Xenopus tropicalis: one gene and its partners. The protein of the gene in region 1 interacts with the protein of each later gene in a pairwise test. Links are inferred from orthologs where the notes say so. Each region holds a gene or a part of one and is shown in the gene's direction. Other genes may lie near its edges. The genes, in order: ralgds, rap1a, rap1b, rras2 and krasl.

Region 1 (4,239 bases):
CCCCAGTGAGCTTACAATCTAAGGTCCCTATCACATTCCCATCAGCCCCTGACTCAGGAGCCAATTAACCTGCCAGGGTTACCCACACAGACACCCACTGGTATTATTAGGAAAATAGACACATTTAAACATTATATAGAGCGCAATATAAATACAGCTCATGGCTGCCTGCGCTTTGATCTGCCAGTCTGTGTTTGGATTGGTCGGGAGCAGCTGATCAGTGCGTGTGTGTGTGCAGTTGGAACAATCCCAAGAGAATCTGAGGTTATTATAAATAAATAGGAGGAAATAGAGGCAAGGAAAATAATCTCACCGCTGGCAGGAAACCTCTGTACCAACCAAACTGCTCCCCCTCCCTCTCCTTGTTATTATTAGTATTACTGGGGAACCCACTTACTAAGCAGGTTCTTTAAAGGGAAAATATACAGTGAGTGACTACATGGAACCCCGTGCCCTGGGTACCCCTGGAACTATAGCGGGGTGACTGTTACCCCAATGTTTCTATATATCTGTAACCTTGTTATGGGCTAAGGGGGCCCAGCCTGAAGGCCAGTTGGGGGGGGATTTGGGGTGAGTGCTTATTTGTGCCCTGGGTACCCCTGGAACTATAGCAGGGTGACTGTTACCCCAATGTTTCTATATATCTGTAACCTTGTTATGGGCTAAGGGGGCCCAGCCTGAAGGCCAGTTAGGGGGGGATTTGGGGTGAGTGCTTATTTGTGCCCTGGGTACCCCTGGAACTATAGCAGGGTGACTGTTACCCCAATGTTTCTATATATCTGTAACCTTGTTATGGGCTAAGGGGGCCCAGCCTGAAGGCCAGTTAGGGGGGGATTTGGGGTGAGTGCTTATTTGTGCCCTGGGTACCCCTGGAACTATAGCAGGGTGACTGTTACCCCAATGTTTCTATATATCTGTAACCTTGTTATGGGCTGAGGGGGCCCAGCCTGAAGGCCAGTTAGGGGGGGATTTGGGGTGAGTGCTTATTTGTGCCCTGGGTACCCCTGGAACTATAGCAGGGTGACTGTTACCCCAATGTTTCTATATATCTGTAACCCCGTTGGGTGAGTTACACCAGAGGAATAGGGGTACCAGTAGTAATGCAGTATTTATATTGCCCAGGATGTAGTTATGCCATATTCAGTCAGTGAAGTCTCACAACACTAATAAGAGACTGCAAGTAAAACAGATAGTGCCCGTATGTTCCAGTCAGGTCAGAGTCACCGAGTCAATTTCACTTTTACACAGCAATAAACAGAAAGGGAAACGGGTAACCCCCCCCCATGTTTAATCCCAATCGATATCCAGACAATTCCCAGGATTACAGCTCTATAGCGGGCTGATCACATGAGATCCAGTCCGGGTTTTCGCCCCGCCTCTCGGTGACGGAGTGGGCGGGCCCCAGAGGCGCAGTGAATGGCAATGAGCGAGTCCCGGAGATCCCACAGCAGAAAGGCGCAGAGCAGCCAGAGAATCCCCTCAGCGGAACGTTCCATTCTGCTCGCCAGTTCGGGGGGCGCTCACACGGATACAGGGGGGCTAAGTCCATGGATATACTGAGCTGATACCCTATTTCTCCCTATGATTTACCTCATGTTGCTGGAGCCCCAACATGACAAGCCATGCACCCCGGAGAAGATGTTTGAGTGCACCGCCAGGAAGATGAGGAGCCTGTGGGATGGGGTCCGGCTGGAAGTGGCCGGGGAAAGCAGCCCGGTGGTACTCAGCAGCTTCACCCAGCTGGACCCGGACCTGCCCCCGCTAGAGGTGAGACCTAAGCCTCCGACTTGTTGCTGCTTTCTGCTCATGTAATCGCTCTAATTGGTTTGTGCAGCAAGGGTTGCTGGGAGTTGTAGTCCAGCAGTAGCAGGGGGGGGGGTATGATTCATGTTTGGATATTGATACAATGTATCCTGTAGGCACAGGAAATCTCCAACTTGTTTGTATTTACACTTCATTGGCAATCAGAGAGTTGTCAAACTATGGCTTCCAGCACTGGGGAGTGATTGCTGCTCTGTATGTGTGGTATATGTACAACCAGCTGGCCTATCGAGTGTAGCAAATGGATCGGCAAGGCAAACGGACATTCTGAATAATGCACTCCTGTATCCATCAGCTTGGGTTTGTAATCCCTGTATATACCCCTCTAATGTGCACCCTGGCCCTAAGCCAATGGCCTATTGAGTGTAGTGGCTGCAGGGAACTGGCTTTTGGCAATGGTTCCTATGGAACTGGTCTATTGAGTGTAGCAAATGGCTACAGGGAAATGCAGTGTTGCTAGTAGTCTTCCTATGGAACTGGTCTATTGAGTGTAGCAAATGGCTACATGGAACTGCCGTGTTGCTAGTAGGCTTCCTATGGAACTGGTCTATTGAGTGTAGCAAATGGCAACCTGGAACTGCCGCTTGCTAGTAGGCTTCCTATGGAACTGGTCTATTGAGTGTAGCAAATGGCTACATGGAACTGCCGTGTTGCTAGTAGGCTTCCTATGGAACTGGTCTATTGAGTGTAGCAAATGGCAACCTGGAACTGCCGCTTGCTAGTAGGCTTCCTATGGAACTGGTCTATTGAGTGTAGCAAATGGCTACAGGGAAATGCAGTGTTGCTAGTAGGCTTCCTATGGAACTGGTCTATTGAGTGTAGCAAATGGCTACATGGAACTGCCGTGTTGCTAGTAGGCTTCCTATGGAACTGGTCTATTGAGTGTAGCAAATGGCTACAGGGAACTGCAGTGTTGCTAGTAGGCTTCCTATGGAACTGGTCTATTGAGTGTAGCAAATGGCAACCTGGAACTGCCGCTTGCTAGTAGGCTTCCTATGGAACTGGTCTATTGAGTGTAGCAAATGGCTACAGGGAACTGCAGTGTTGTTAGTAGGCTTCCTATGGAACTGGTCTATTGAGTGTAGCAAATGGCTACATGGAACTGCCGTGTTGCTAGTAGGCTTCCTATGGAACTGGTCTATTGAGTGTAGCAAATGGCTACAGGGAACTGCCGCGTTGCTAGTAGGCTTCCTATGGAACTGGTCTATTGAGTGTAGCAAATGGCTACATGGAACTGCCGCGTTGCTAGTAGGCTTCCTATGGAACTGGTCTATTGAGTGTAGCAAATGGCTACATGATACGGCTTGCTGGCAGGACATAAAATAGATTTGCTCTGCCATGTTGGCCAGTGGGCTGCTATACGGGCACGCTGGCTGGCACCTGTCAGGGCGCTGCAGGGAAGGGCAATGCCGCGGTGGCGGCAGCAGGAATGTTAATCGCGAGTGGATTATAGTCGGGCTCATACCCCTCCGTCTCTAGGGGCCGTTCTCCTGCTTCTGTGGCCCCCGACTGTAAGAGATTAGCCGAGCAAAGGGCACAGGGAGCAGACGGGAGTGGTGCCAAAGTGCAGAATTACTGGCATATCCATTTCTATTGTAATACTGTGCGGCAGCCTGGCACCCATTAGTGCCCGCTGTACCTGCCCCGGGTGCCCCCCCCCCCGGGGATTCAATATACAATATATTAAGGGGCTTTTTAGCATCTATTTCCCCCTGGCAGAGAGCAAATGACTGCCCACATACGTTAGTAAATATCCATAGGTGCCCAAGAGCCCCACTGCCCCATCCTTCTTATTAGCAGTAATTGGCATCGCTGGGTTCATTTGATCCCTAATTTACATCTGTGGTGGCAAAGTGACCCCCTTTCTTGGCTCTGGCGGAGTATTCATGAGCCAATGAGATCCGAGCACTCACTTTCATTTATTAATTAAGGACTGGAATTGACCAACGCGGGTTCTTTTTTAACCTGAGCTGCTAGGATACTGTGACCATTCCATCAGTGGATTGCACTGGGCTATACTAGAATGATGGAGGGGGGGGATAGACTGAAAGCTTATATATAGAATAGGATCCCTGCAATTACACAATGGGCTCTTCTAAATTACTGTCAAATAATGGGGTCCTGGGTTCAATTCCCGCCAGGGCGCTATCTGCAAAGTGTCAGTTTCTACTGGGACCATAGAGTGTAAACTCCACTGGGGCAGGGGCTGATGGGAATGTGATAGGGACCTTAGATTGTAAGCTCCACTGGGGCAGGGACTGATGGGAATGGGATAGGGACCTTAGATTGTAAGCTCCACTGGGGCAGGGGCTGATGGGAATGTGATAGGGACCTTAGATTGTAAGCTCACTGGGGCAGGGGCTGATGGGAATGTGATAGGGCCCTTAGATTGTAAGCTCACTAGGGCAGGGGCTGATA
Region 2 (3,515 bases), on another chromosome or scaffold:
GGTTGCCGACTTGGTCCCTTTTTTCCTCCTTGTACAGTCAGTTGTTAAAAAAAAAAAATCCAGCTATCAACACAGGACTTCTGTTTCATAAGGAGTTATTTTGTGAAATGGTGAAGGAAACAAGTGGAACTTCATCTATTTTCAACTACTTTGCAGCTTTAAAGTATACTTATTTATCAAAGTTACATTAATCTGGGTCCAATAAGAGGTTTCAAAGCTAAGGCTAGTTCCACATGGAGCTGATTCCTCTGGCTGCCCTTCGTCTGTACCCACAGGCACTGTCAGCCTAGGTGCTAATACATGGAATGGATGTCAGACATGCACGTGACCAAGGATTTTTGCAGTGAAAGCCGCTCTGTTTGTCTAAGCAACACATTAAAATCCTCTAGAGCAGAAGGGTGGTTGTTTTTTTTTTTTTCTCACAAAATGTTAGACTTTTACTGTACGTGCTGTAAGCTCCTAAAATACTAAAACTAAATACATTGTTTTTTCATCTCTAGACTACACTATTGTGAAACAAAAATAATCCCATCATGCGCGAGTACAAGCTCGTGGTCCTTGGTTCTGGAGGTGTTGGAAAGTCTGCTTTGGTAAGTTGAGCTTTCCATATGTATATTTGGCCATGTCATAATTAACTTACATAATACAGCCAATTAGCCCATATAAAAATAATTACTCTTTAAAGGGGAATAGGTTAATATCTATCATGGTTTGATGTAGCCTATTATTAACGAGACGTATAGCTTAAATGAAAATCCACCCTAAACTTGTAGGCAGTAATGAATAATATATGGTGCTGATTTCACTCTGGGCTTAAAATGATCATTTTCCTTAAAAACGAACCCTTTATTGGAGTTTCTATAGATCTGCTACATCCCTGTGATGTTTCATATAAGGAGTTGGGCGTGTTCTAATGGTCCCTGCCAAAAGAGCTATAGGAGGAGGATAGCCAATCACAGCTCTGCAGTCACACAATACAGGCTTAAGTTCCCTATCAGGTCCACTTACCTGCTGATTCCTATCCTACAGTGCTGAGTGCTGCCGGTCCCCCTGCACATCCAGAAAAAGCAGGAAACACACATTTTTTAAAGCACATTTCTTCAGTATTTAGACAAGTATAATGCACTGGCACATTCTCGTTTTTACACAATATTTACCTTTTAATAAAAGCTCGGATACGGCCTGTGTTGTATTGTAAAATAAAGTAAAGATGAAAGAATAGACTATAATAGACAAAAATTCCAGTTGTTTGTAAGAGGGGTTGTTGTAATAATTTCATAGCTGAAATTACTTCACACTTTAGTTTTGCAAAACTTTAAGCAGTGGGCTGAAATACAGATCTAGAGATTGTACTTGCCACAAGAAATGTTCATGGTCCTCACACCAGAACACCTGTTCTATAAGGTGTAGTTTAGTAAAGCTCTCATGGCAAAATTAAATTCTAAGATGCCCAGCACAGAGAGATGCTCCTTGGCTTGTACCCCCAGCATTTTATAAATGGCTGATATCCCCCGCCCCCAGTTAATGGGGTTTATTTTTAGCTGCTGCAGGTGATGTGGTTAAACATGTCTGTTGTGTAATTTTCTTCATACATTTTATTTCTCTACAGACAGTCCAGTTTGTTCAAGGTATTTTTGTGGAAAAGTATGACCCAACAATAGAAGATTCATACAGAAAGGTAATACCTATTTTAAATGTACTAACATGTTTACATATTCTGTATTAGTGTTTATTACTTTACATTAAATAAATTGTTAGTTTTAAAATATTACCTATTTTCCACCTAAAGAAGCAGGAAGCATACCTCTCATTCACATTAAATTTACTTTCCAGTACCTCTACAGTTTGTTTGTTTTTTGTAACAAATTTGCTTATTTGCTTTGTATATAGTTTATTTGCTTTTATATATTGTATTTTTGCTTTTGTATTTGTCCATTGTATAGCCAGCCTCTATCCACATAGCTCCATGCGGATGTGGTCCTCACACCGACAGGAAAATCAAACCAACCAGATATTGGTCGGGTAGGCTGTTGGTAAGCCCCATACATGGGCTAACAAGTTTCCAAGGTCAAAAGCTGCCAGTGTATGGCAACTTTTACTTGTTCACCTCTGTGTTAAAGGAAATAAAAGACACATGGCCACAAACTGAGAGGAAGCCTTCAACTCACAGATGCCATTTCCCCACTCCAGCATCTTAGGCTGGCAGAGTCAGCCACTTCCTGTTGAAATATAAAATTCTGGGACTTGAAGTCCCTCGGCTTTCCAGAGAGTCTGTGCTTGCCCCTCCTATATCTTCTACTTCTCATTGTATAGTACAAAGCTAAGCATGATCAGTGGTCCTTATCTAAAATATTCACATTAAGTAGATACTGATCGACCTCAGCCTCTTCCTTTTGTCATTCTCTGTCAGAAGTCAGCTGTCTGTAAAAGCCTACTGATGCATTTTTGGGCACCTTTAGCATGACAAGTACTCGCCATGTAATTTCAACACAAGTCTGTGGGGGTAGTGCTCAGTGTCAAAATAATATCTGTACATGATTTAGTGCATATACATTGTGCTTCTTGATGCTAGCTGCTTTGGGAACCCAACATCAGTAGGTGTGCATGTGCCATATTTACAATAGGAGGCAGGACAGACACAGTGCAACTATGCAAATGTCATTCAATGCAAGTAATTTTAATGAATAGTGTAATTTCACACAGAAATAATCTGTCACTGCTTTTGATTAAAAAAAAAAAACAATGGAAATGCTGTGCCAACTTCTTCCAAAGGCGGAGCTCTTCCCAAGCTTTTCAGTTAGAAGCAGACGGTCGGAATGCCTCATTTCATAGCCTTGGACTTGAATGCATGACTTTAAAATAATGGGCCATGGTGTAATAGGAGGTACCCAAGTAGAAAAATGTCTACAACTTTTTCAAACATAAAAGGAACAATATACACCTGTGTTCATTAAGAACAAATTAAAGAGCTGTTTTTCCCTTACATCAGTGCATTTAAGGGAAAAAACTGACACTGCACAGCTATTTTACATTTTGCTGCCCAAGTAAGATTGCAGTTTAGTGTCAGTTTTTCTCTAGGCCGGTGCATTTCTTAATTTAAAAAATGTTTAACCTGTTATTTGAACTCCTATAGTATACATAGGTGTATAGTGCCCCCTGTCAAAAATATCTGTAAAGCTATGCACACTATTGTAACTAAAAAGAAACACTTTTTAGTTTGATGTAAGTTGATGTGCGAATGTGGGGTGTACAGCGATATAGATTTCTCCATTTGTGACACTCAAAGGGTTAATGCACTCACTTAAAGCTGTAGCAAATATGAAAAGACCTACTACATGAATAGCAGCATTTACAAGACTGTTCATAATTTGGTCAGATATAAAAAAAAAAAATCTTTATAATTTTTTTATTTCTTGTAGTTAGTATAAAAATATTATTGTTGTGAAGTCTTGTATTACATAATGTTTGAAATTAACCAAGATGCATTTTGTTTGAATTGCAGCAAGTGGAAGTGG
Region 3 (3,515 bases), on another chromosome or scaffold:
GAGCTTGGTAAATTTCAGTCAGCATTGCCAGTAGTTGGGCAAATACAACAGGCAAGTCATATAGTGACACGCAGGATTATCTGACTTCTGTCTAAGCCATCTCATAACATCCAGAATGGTTCCTTCCTCCTGTGGCTTCATTGTAAATTATTTCTGCCTCGCCCCAATGCAGCATAGTGACTTCTGTTTCCAATTCTTGAAGTGGGTACCTATGTGGATCACAGGGCAACTATTTCCCTGATAGGGCCAAATGACATGATTATATCAGGTATAACTATATTGCTTAGATGTTCATATTCTACTTGATCAGATATTTAATCGCACTGTGTCTTCTAGACCAAAATGTGATTTTGTTCTTTGTTGTGCCTCACATGGAATGTAACTGGCCTTGTGCAAATAGATAGATAGGGGAGCTGAAAATCTTTCTAAAGCAACATGAAAACTATATGTATTTATAAGGCATACATAAGCTCTGGTTTTCTGCCCCTCGCTCACTGCAGAGGGTGAGGCACCTGAAGCCAGTCCTCCCTTTGTGAGATAAGGCCCCCCCACCCTTTGTGGGTCCCACTGGCTAGGTTATATATATATATATATATATATATATATATATATAATATATATATAATTACCATAGTCAGTACTAAGCAGAATCGATCCTGTATTGCCTTTCACTTATGTCACACGTCTCAATAAACTTCTCTTATAAAGCAACATTAACATTACTGTCTCTGGGGTCTGGTTAAAAATCCCTGAAAGTGTAGTTGGGATGTTTTCATGAGGAATTTGTCTGCCACTAACTGGTTTGTCTTGCCACATAGGGAACATAATATCAGATTGTGGGCACACTTCTTTTGCAGTTGCATTTTTATAACACATTTGCAAAATTAAATTTGTTATGTTATACAAAGGAATATTATATAGCAAACGCCATGATCAGCAGTTTTGGTGTGAGTCCATATACTTGAATGTTGTATAGCCGTAAGTGCTTCTGGAATGCAGGTCTCTGATTAGACAACAGAATTTGGTTGCACTGGACATTTAGGCTACATTTTATATAATTAGAGCAGAGAGAGAATATTAACCTAAGAATCAAATTCTATGTCTGTGGCCCTAAGGACAACACTTTGCTGAAATTTTTGTAACACTGTCTTTAACTTTTTTGCAGCAAGTTGAAGTTGATGGGCAACAGTGCATGTTGGAGATCTTGGACACCGCAGGAACGGTATGTTGTATGTAGCAAAAATTTATGTACGCAGAAAGCAAGCCGTGCTGCTTAAAAATAACAGTAGTTTTTATTGGTGCATTATCTGTCTTTATGAAACTGGGCTCTCTGATATCTAGAATCTTTGCTAAAATTAAGCCTGATCCTTAACAGATTTTTATTGCATTTGGCTACCTATCTATGGCAGGTAAGCAGTCAAGTGTTGACTTGATGAGCAAATTGTCAGTGTCCTCTATACCCAAGTTTGCATTAAACATTTTTTACACAACTATAGCCAGTTTTGCCTTGGAGATTACTGAATTTAGCTTACGTCACCTGAACAGCTTATTAAATTGAATAACGCTTTGCTATGTTTTACTCTGCAGGTAGCATGCGTTACCTAACAGATGAGACATTTATACTGTTGTCTTTTTTCTTTCTTATTCCAGGAACAATTCACAGCAATGCGTGATCTGTATATGAAAAATGGACAGGGCTTTGCATTAGTGTACTCTATAACAGCACAGTCCACTTTCAATGACTTGCAGGACCTCAGAGAACAGATCCTCCGAGTAAAAGACACTGATGATGTAAGCATTTTGTAGGAGTACATTAAAAGATGGTTCATTACGGATGTCTGTCATGTATTATTGCAGGTTTCAATGTTAGACTTAAGGTGGCTGTACACAGGCCGATCCTCTTAGGCAGTGATCCCCAGCCAGTGGTTCGTGAGCAACATGTTGCTCCCCAACCCTTTCGATGTTGCTCCCAGTGGCTTCAAAGCAGGTGCTTATTTTTGTATTCCTTGGAGGCAAATTTTGGTTGCATAAACACCAGGTGTAATGCCAAACAGAGACTCCTCTAGGCCGCCACATAGGAGCTACCAGATAGCCAATCACAGCCCTTTTTGGCACGCTCATGAACATTTTTCATGATTGTGTTGCTCTCCAACTCTTTTTACATTTGAGTGTGGCTCACAGGTAAAAAAGGTTGGGGATCCTTGCTCTTAGGTATACAGGTAATCATCCCTGGGGCTGAACAAACAGATATGTAACAAACATATGTCAAACACAGATATCCATAATAGATTGATATTGGTTGGGATTGGTGGGTTGCTATAGAAGTACAGAAAATTGTACAAAACTATTTTTGGGATGTGTGGCTATAAAATGGTTGTGACATGTTTGAGACAAAACTGGCATTTTTTTTCAATTATATCTATGATTGACCAGCACAAAACACTAAAATGCGCAAGTGTCAATCTTTTGAAATAATCTGGTGTTGTTATATACTAATTATCTCTGTCCTTGTTTGTCCACTTTTGCATACATGTGAAACATTTTGCTTTATATCGATTCCTGGCATTAGTCATTATTTTTACTATGTGTATGCATATTTGAGTTACAATACTAAATGCAGAACCACACGTTTTTTTTTTTTAGCTTCAGTCAATACACCCAGCCTGTTTAAATTGAATCTTTTACACAACATTAGATTTTATCTTTTCATCTACCATTATTTATAAAGCTATTTCCGATCAAATAATTATAGCACCCCATCCAAAATAAAATTAAGTTTTGACCTACCATTTTTTTCTTCAGGAGGAATTATTCATGCCTAGGGAATTGTGGCACTGATACACAACAGTTTACGGACAGCCAGGTGTGCCAAGCATGCCAAGACACCAGGAGATAAAGTGCCTATTCCTGCAACCAAAGTTCAGTCAGGCAGTACACTACACTAGTTTTGTAGCCCACATGTATACCAGTGTTTAAATAAATTATCTTTTATAATTATACTTGTTCTTTTAAGCGCTGAGTGAAAACATTTTAAGCATGAGCAACTGTTTAAAAAGAAATACCCTTAGGCCAGGCAGAAACTTTCCTCTGTGTAAGCTATAGCACATTATTTCCTCTTTATGGTCATGTCCGTGAATATATGGCAGAGATCCAAGAAAGCTGCTTTTCATTACCCATGTCCTCTTTATGCTTACTCTAGATTCATACTGAAATATGCATATTTATAGCCAGTGGCAGTATGCGCAACCTGACGCTAGTCATGTTCCACTAAACTACAATCCCACTGTCCCACTGACAGGGCAACTAAACTTCATTTTTCATTACCTGTGGTTTTCATTTTTTATAAAATCAATAACATTTACAATGTAAAACAGCAATGCATTAATTTTTTTTTTTATTATTATTATTTAGGAAAAATATTCCAATAAACATTTACTATGTATATAGTTCTTGAAACATGTTTGTGGCTGCTGGTAGTATCTTACTTTTTATTTTCTATTAAAAATGCATTGCAT
Region 4 (3,515 bases), on another chromosome or scaffold:
TATAAGCTACGCCCCCCTGCTGTACTGTCTGTGGCAGCCCCAGTAGAGGGGCAGGGATGGGTTTGCAGAGGATGCTGGGATATTTATGTACCATCTCCTTTGTTCTTTTCCAGTTCTGGACACTGCGGGGCAGGAGGAGTTCGGGGCAATGAGGGAGCAGTACATGAGGACAGGAGAGGGGTTCCTGCTGGTATTTTCGGTCACAGACAGGGGAAGGTGAGACAGATTGCACCTCGTTATTCTTTCAGTTGCTGCTTCCTGGGTCTTGTACAGGTTCTGAGGGTGCTACATCCCTACACATCCATGGTGGGTCTTGGGATACAGAAGTGTATGAGCAGGAATAAAATGGGAAGGGGATACTAGGGTGCAGGAGTGAGAGGGGAGGGGATACTAGGGTGCAGGAGTGAGAGGGGAGGGGATACTAGGGTGCAGGAGTGAGAGGGGAGGGGATACTAGGGTGCAGGAGTGAGAGGGGAGGGGATAGTAGGGTGCAGGAGTGAGAGGGGAGGGGATACTAGGGTGCAGGAGTGAGAGGGGAGGGGATAGTAGGGTGCAGGAGTGAGAGGGGAGGGGATAGTAGGGTGCAGGAGTGAGAGGGGAGGGGATAGTAGGGTGCAGGAGTGAGAGGGGAGGGGATAGTAGGGTGCAGGAGTGAGAGGGGAGGGGATACTAGGGTGCAGGAGTGAGAGGGGAGGGGATACTAGGGTGCAGGAGTGAGAGGGGAGGGGATAGTAGGGTGCAGGAGTGAGAGGGGAGGGGATAGTAGGGTGCAGGAGTGAGAGGGGAGGGGATAGTAGGGTGCAGGAGTGAGAGGGGAGGGGATAGTAGGGTGCAGGAGTGAGAGGGGAGGGGATACTAGGGTGCAGGAGTGAGAGGGGAGGGGATACTAGGGTGCAGGAGTGAGAGGGGAGGGGATAGTAGGGTGCAGGAGTGAGAGGGGAGGGGATACTAGGGTGCAGGAGTGAGAGGGGAGGGGATAGTAGGGTGCAGGAGTGAGAGGGGAGGGGATAGTAGGGTGCAGGAGTGAGAGGGGAGGGGATAGTAGGGTGCAGGAGTGAGAGGGGAGGGGATAGTAGGGTGCAGGAGTGAGAGGGGAGGGGATACTAGGGTGCAGGAGTGAGAGGGGAGGGGATACTAGGTGCAGGAGTGAGAGGGGAGGGGATAGTAGGGTGCAGGAGTGAGAGGGGAGGGGATACTAGGGTGCAGGAGTGAGAGGGGAGGGGATACTAGGGTGCAGGAGTGAGAGGGGAGGGGATACTAGGGTGCAGGAGTGAGAGGGGAGGGGATAGTAGGGTGCAGGAGTGAGAGGGGAGGGGATAGTAGGGTGCAGGAGTGAGAGGGGAGGGGATAGTAGGGTGCAGGAGTGAGAGGGGAGGGGATAGTAGGGTGCAGGAGTGAGAGGGGAGGGGATACTAGGGTGCAGGAGTGAGAGGGGAGGGGATACTAGGGTGCAGGAGTGAGAGGGGAGGGGATAGTAGGGTGCAGGAGTGAGAGGGGAGGGGATACTAGGGTGCAGGAGTGAGAGGGGAGGGGATAGTAGGGTGCAGGAGTGAGAGGGGAGGGGATAGTAGGGTGCAGGAGTGAGAGGGGAGGGGATAGTAGGGTGCAGGAGTGAGAGGGGAGGGGATACTAGGGTGCAGGAGTGAGAGGGGAGGGGATACTAGGGTGCAGGAGTGAGAGGGGAGGGGATAGTAGGGTGCAGGAGTGAGAGGGGAGGGGATAGTAGGGTGCAGGAGTGAGAGGGGAGGGGATACTAGGGTGCAGGAGTGAGAGGGGAGGGGATAGTAGGGTGCAGGAGTGAGAGGGGAGGGGATACTAGGGTGCAGGAGTGAGAGGGGAGGGGATACTAGGGTGCAGGAGTGAGAGGGGAGGGGATACTGGGGTGCAGGAGTGAGAGGGGAGGGGATACTGGGGTGCAGGAGTGAGAGGGGATACTGGGGTGCAGGAGTGAGAGGGGAGGGGATACTGGGGTGCAGGAGTGAGAGGGGAGGGGATACTAGGGTGCAGGAGTGAGAGGGGAGGGGATACTAGGGTGCAGGAGTGAGAGGGGAGGGGATACTAGGGTGCAGGAGTGAGAGGGGAGGGGATACTAGGGTGCAGGAGTGAGAGGGGAGGGGATACTAGGGTGCAGGAGTGAGAGGGGAGGGGATACTAGGGTGCAGGAGTGAGAGGGGAGGGGATACTAGGGTGCAGGAGTGAGAGGGGAGGGGATACTGGGTGCAGGAGTGAGAGGGGAGGGGATACTGGGGTGCAGGAGTGAGAGGGGATACTGGGGTGCAGGAGTGAGAGGGGAGGGGATACTGGGGTGCAGGAGTGAGAGGGGAGGGGATACTAGGGTGCAGGAGTGAGAGGGGAGGGGATACTAGGGTGCAGGAGTGAGAGGGAGGGGATACTAGGGTGCAGGAGTGAGAGGGGAGGGGATACTAGGGTGCAGGAGTGAGAGGGAGGGGATACTAGGGTGCAGGAGTGAGAGGGGAGGGGATACTAGGGTGCAGGAGTGAGAGGGGAGGGGATACTAGGGTGCAGGAGTGAGAGGGGAGGGGATACTAGGGTGCAGGAGTGAGAGGGGAGGGGATACTAGGGTGCAGGAGTGAGAGGGGAGGGGATACTAGGGTGCAGGAGTGAGAGGGGAGGGGATAGTAGGGTGCAGGAGTGAGAGGGGAGGGGATACTAGGGTGCAGGAGTGAGAGGGGAGGGGATACTAGGGTGCAGGAGTGAGAGGGGAGGGGATAGTAGGGTGCAGGAGTGAGAGGGGAGGGGATACTAGGGTGCAGGAGTGAGAGGGAGGGGATACTAGGGTGCAGGAGTGAGAGGGGAGGGGATACTAGGGTGCAGGAGTGAGAGGGGAGGGGATACTAGGGTGCAGGAGTGAGAGGGGAGGGGATAGTAGGGGGGGGGGGTAGGGTGCAGGAGTGACAGGGGAGGGGATACTAGGGTGCAGGAGTGAGAGGGGAGGGGATACTAGGGTGCAGGAGTGAGAGGGGAGGGGATAGTAGGGTGCAGGAGTGAGAGGGGAGGGGATACTAGGGTGCAGGAGTGAGAGGGGAGGGGATAGTAGGGTGCAGGAGTGAGAGGGGAGGGGATACTAGGGTGCAGGAGTGAGAGGGGGAGGGAATTTTTATTCTGTTTCTAATTTTTTTTTTTGTAGTTTTGAAGAAATCTACAAATTCCAAAGACAGATCCTGCGGGTAAAGGACCGGGATGAATTTCCCATGATTCTGGTTGGTAACAAGGCTGACTTGGAGCACCAGAGGCAGGTAAGTAGTTATGGCGGGGGGGGCAGTGGGGGTAAATGATAGAGGAGGTGTTGGCTGTGATTAAACTCATCTTTTGGGATGTTCCAGGTAACGCGGGAGGAGGGGCAGCAGTTGGCGCGGCAGCTGAAAGTCACCTACATGGAGGCTTCGGCCAAAATCAGAATGAATGTAGACCAAGCATTTCATGAACTTGTTAGAGTTGTAAGGTGAGTGGCGCCATCTTTACTCTGTGTGTTATACATATGGGTAGGGGGTGCC
Region 5 (4,120 bases), on another chromosome or scaffold:
ACTTTTTATTCCTTATCTTTCTATTCAGCCCCTCTCCTATTCATATTCCTGTCTCTCATTGCAACTCTACCTTAGCAAGTCCCCGGTTTCTAAGGTAATTTGGACCCTAGCAACCAGATAGCTGCTAAAATTCCAAACTGGAGAGCCGCTGAACAAAATGTAAAATAATTAAAAACTACAAATAATAAAAAATGAAGACCAATTGCAAATTGTCTCAGAATATCACTCTCTACATCATAAGTTAACTCAAAGGTCTATTCTTAGCAACTTTTCAGTTGGTCTTCATTATTTATTTCTTATAATTTTTGAATTCTGTGACTCTTTGCAGCTTTCAAATGGGGGTCACTGACCCCGGCAGCCAAACCCTATTGCTCTGTGAGGCTCCAGTTTTATTGTTATTGTTACTTTTTATTCCTTATCTTTCTATTCAGCCCCTCCCCTATTCATATACCAGTCTCTCATCCCTGGTTGCCAAGGTAATTTGGACCCTAGCAACAGGATAACTGACCCCGGCAGCCAAAACCTATTGTTCTGTGAGGCTCCAGTTTTATTGTTATTGTTACTTTTTATTCCTTATCTTTCTATTCGGCCCCTCCCCTATTCATATTCCAGTCTCTCATTCATACCACTCGCTGGTTGCTAGGGTAACTTGGACCCTAGCAACCAAACCCTATTGCTCTGTGAGGCTCCAGTTTTATTGTTACTGTTACTTTTTATTCCTTATCTTTCTATTCAGCCCCTCCCCTATTCATATTCCTGTCTCTCATTCATACCACTCCCTGGTTGCTAAGGTAATTGGAGCCCTAGCAGCCAGATAGCAGTGGAACGGGAGAGCTGCCGAACAAGAATTGAAATAATTAAAAAACTACAAATAATAAAAAATGAAGACCAATTGCAAATGAGTATTTTCTCTGCAGTTTACCACCCTGCTTCCAAATGAATAGGGAAAATAGTATTTACTACTTTATCCGCCACTTTCTCTCTTTCAGTACTTGATTAAATGATAGACAATTACAAGTTTTCACACACACGGACAGACAGTATGGCAGCTTCACTGCTCTCAGGGTTAAAGATCTGAGCGTTACGTCATGGCATTTCCTGCAGACGAATTATCAGGCTTACTTGCCCTTTACTCAATAGTAACCAGGACACCACGCCCCTCGGCCCGTACGTCACACCAGGGGGGCGGTACCATCGGGGAGTAGCCTAGCGTTCGGGGCGGGGCGCTTTCATTTGCATTCCGCCTTCAGCCAATGAGGGAGGCCAAATCGCTCTGACGTCACCGGCGAATCCCCGTTGTATTTATAGCTCGTATTTAAAGAGCCCCTGGGAGTCTCCGGCCCAGGCCTGTGTGTGCGGGACCGGCAGCGCCGCCTTCTCTCTCTGCTCCAGCCCGGGCCCCATCCCCAGGGGGAAGCATGCAGCCGTGAGCCCCAGCCGCCAGCATACCGGTGAGTGAGTGCGGCCCGGGGGGTACAATGCCTGGCTAGTTACCCCAGCGGGGGGTATGTGGGTACTAAGCCTTGGGGGTTAACTGCAGCCGGGGGCTGGTATTTGGCCTTCTCTCTGGGTAACTGGCCGGTTACAATTTGCCCCCCACCCCGGGGTATAAGGATCTCCTGATCCCCCTCAGCTACCCCACCGTGGGGCTAATTGGCTTCTGATTCTCTCTATCTGCCCCTTGCGGGTAACTACTCATCCTTCCTGGGCCCATGGGTGTAACTGCTATATTTACCCCCGGCCGGTAGTTGCTTTGGGCCCTTTATTCCTGCCCCTAGCGATCCCCTATATTTACCCCACCAGGGGTATTACTGCCTCCTGATCTGTTCTCTCTGTATTGTACCCCTTGGGGCAAGTGGCTGCTGGTCCCTTTCTTCCTACCCCCCCTGCCTTCCCTTGCTTTACCCACTGATCCCAAGGGGATCCCCATTCTGCCCCCCAGGGGTTTATTCCTTTCTCCCATTCTGCCCCCCAGGGGTTTATTCCTTTCTCCCATTCTGCCCCCCAGGGGTTTATTCCTTTCTCCCATTCTGCCCCCCAGGGGTTTATTCCTTTCTCCCATTCTGCCCCCCAGGGGTTCATCCTTTCTCCCATTCTGCCCCCCGAGGGGTTTATTCCTTTCTCCCATTCTGCCCCCCGAGGGGTTTATTCCTTTCTCCCATTCTGCCCCCCGAGGGGTTTATTCCTTTCTCCCATTCTGCCCCCCGAGGGGTTTATTCCTTTCTCCCATTCTGCCCCCCCAGGGGTTTATTCCTTTCTCCCATTCTGCCCCCTACCCCTGTGGCTTTCCTCTTTCTCCCATTCTGCCCCTCTTGGGGCTTTATTCCTCTCTCTCCCATTCTGCCCCTCTTGGGGCTTTATTCCTCTCTCTCCCATTCTGCCCCTCTTGGGGCTTTATTCCTCTCTCTCCCATTCTGCCCCTCTTGGGGCTTTATTCCTCTCTCTCCCATTCTGCCCCCCTTGGGGCTTTATTCCTCTCTCTCCCATTCTGCCCCCCTTGGGGCTTTATTCCTCTCTCTCCCATTCTGCCCCCCTTGGGGCTTTATTCCTCTCTCTCCCATTCTGCCCCCCTTGGGGCTTTATTCCTCTCTCTCCCATTCTGCCCCCCTGCTTTGATTGGTCTCTGTCTACTTGTGCCCCATTTGTCTCTTTTTTCAGCTTATTGGGGTACTGCGTTTAGGGGTAATTCCCTGGGACCACAATTACCCCCCCCCCCCCCCAGGATGTGTTGTCTTTGTCCGTTATACTTCTTTACAGGGTCTCTAGGGAATGCCCCCTGCAGTTCTTTGGGCCTATTTTTGACTCCTAGTCCCCCCCCCCCCCCCCCAACCACAAGAATAGGACTTTAATATTTAAGGTGCTAAAAGGGTAAATACCCCTAGTTTGTCGGTATAGGGGCATCAGTAATGTTCTGTATAGAGAAATGGGGGACGGGTTACATATCCCCCTCTGTTTCTACTGGGGGTCACATGACTTCATCTGTGGCCCTTAATACATGGAGGACGAAGGGCCTGAAATTGCCACTGAACTAAAGCAGAGGGGTAAATTAATTGCCTACTATTCTGTACCAGAGGGCAGATATCCTATCTGATCCCCCCATTGTAAGCAGCAGTCCTGCCCTGCTTTATGGCTGAGATTCTAGCTATCTGTATAACAGAGCATTCTGTCACAGTGGCACAGATCCTATCTGATCCCCCCATTGTAAGCAGCAGTCCTGCCCTGCTTTATGGCTGAGATTCTAGCTATCTGTATAACAGAGCATTCTGTCACAGTGGCACAGATCCTATCTGATCCCCCATTGTAAGCAGCAGTCCTGCCCTGCTTTATGGCTGAGATTCTAGCTATCTGTATAACAGAGCATTCTGTCACAGTGGCACAGATCCTATCTGATCCCCCCCATTGTAAGCAGCAGTCCTGCCCTGCTTTATGGCTGAGATTCTAGCTATCTGTATAACAGAGCATTCTGTCACAGTGGCACAGATCCTATCTGATCCCCCCATTGTAAGCAGCAGTCCTGCCCTGCTTTATGGCTGAGATTCTAGCTATCTGTATAACAGAGCATTCTGTCACAGTGGCACAGATCCTATCTGATCCCCCCATTGTAAGCAGCAGTCCTGCCCTGCTTTATGGCTGAGATTCTAGCTATCTGTATAACAGAGCATTCTGTCACAGTGGCACAGATCCTATCTGATCCCCCCATTGTAAGCAGCAGTCCTGCCCTGCTTTATGGCTGAGATTCTAGCTATCTGTATAACAGAGCATTCTGTCACAGTGGCACAGATCCTATCTGATCCCCCCATTGTAAGCAGCAGTCCTGCCCTGCTTTATGGCTGAGATTCTAGCTATCTGTATAACAGAACATTCTGTCACAGTGGCACAGATCCTATCTGATCCCCCCATTGTAAGCAGCAGTCCTGCCCTGCTTTATGGCTGAGATTCTAGCTATCTGTATAACAGAGCATTCTGTCACAGTGGCACAGATCCTATCTGATCCCTCCCATTGTAAGCAGCAGTCCTGCCCTGCTTTATGGCTGAGATTCTAGCTATCTGTATAACAGAGCATTCTGTCACAGTGGCACAGATCCTATCTGATCCCCCCCCCCATTGTAAGCAGCAGTCC

What was found.
Region 2: the proteins of ralgds (region 1) and rap1a interact in a two-hybrid assay, tested with the Homo sapiens proteins (3 studies listed by BioGRID and IntAct). The link is inferred for Xenopus tropicalis from reciprocal best matches to the Homo sapiens genes RALGDS and RAP1A.
Region 3: the proteins of ralgds (region 1) and rap1b interact in binary tests that used the Homo sapiens proteins (3 or more experiments, as listed by UniProt). The link is inferred for Xenopus tropicalis from reciprocal best matches to the Homo sapiens genes RALGDS and RAP1B.
Region 4: the proteins of ralgds (region 1) and rras2 interact in a two-hybrid assay, tested with the Homo sapiens proteins (2 studies listed by BioGRID and IntAct). The link is inferred for Xenopus tropicalis from reciprocal best matches to the Homo sapiens genes RALGDS and RRAS2.
Region 5: the proteins of ralgds (region 1) and krasl interact in a two-hybrid assay, tested with the Homo sapiens proteins (3 studies listed by BioGRID and IntAct). The link is inferred for Xenopus tropicalis from reciprocal best matches to the Homo sapiens genes RALGDS and KRAS.

The regions. Positions count from the first base shown.
Region 1 is NC_030684.2:11,276,280-11,280,518, forward strand, and holds the start of ralgds (ral guanine nucleotide dissociation stimulator), read left to right. Parts: upstream 1-1,432; 5' UTR 1,433-1,581; coding exon 1,582-1,767; intron 1,768-4,239. UniProt on the Homo sapiens protein: Functions as a guanine nucleotide exchange factor (GEF) activating either RalA or RalB GTPases and plays an important role in intracellular transport. Interacts and acts as an effector molecule for R-Ras, H-Ras, K-Ras, and Rap.
Region 2 is NC_030678.2:59,474,160-59,477,674, forward strand, and holds part of rap1a (ras-related protein Rap-1A), read left to right. Parts: intron 1-500; 5' UTR 501-533; coding exon 534-590; intron 591-1,609; coding exon 1,610-1,678; intron 1,679-3,502; coding exon 3,503-3,515. UniProt on the Homo sapiens protein: Counteracts the mitogenic function of Ras, at least partly because it can interact with Ras GAPs and RAF in a competitive manner. Together with ITGB1BP1, regulates KRIT1 localization to microtubules and membranes.
Region 3 is NC_030679.2:58,804,218-58,807,732, forward strand, and holds part of rap1b (ras-related protein Rap-1b precursor), read left to right. Parts: intron 1-1,165; coding exon 1,166-1,222; intron 1,223-1,650; coding exon 1,651-1,791; intron 1,792-3,515. UniProt on the Homo sapiens protein: GTP-binding protein that possesses intrinsic GTPase activity. Contributes to the polarizing activity of KRIT1 and CDH5 in the establishment and maintenance of correct endothelial cell polarity and vascular lumen.
Region 4 is NC_030680.2:3,481,846-3,485,360, forward strand, and holds part of rras2 (ras-related protein R-Ras2), read left to right. Parts: intron 1-113; coding exon 114-216; intron 217-3,148; coding exon 3,149-3,257; intron 3,258-3,344; coding exon 3,345-3,463; intron 3,464-3,515. UniProt on the Homo sapiens protein: GTP-binding protein with GTPase activity, involved in the regulation of MAPK signaling pathway and thereby controlling multiple cellular processes. Regulates craniofacial development.
Region 5 is NC_030679.2:2,105,540-2,109,659, reverse strand, and holds the start of krasl (GTPase KRas), read left to right. Parts: upstream 1-1,311; 5' UTR 1,312-1,451; intron 1,452-4,120. UniProt on the Homo sapiens protein: Ras proteins bind GDP/GTP and possess intrinsic GTPase activity. Plays an important role in the regulation of cell proliferation.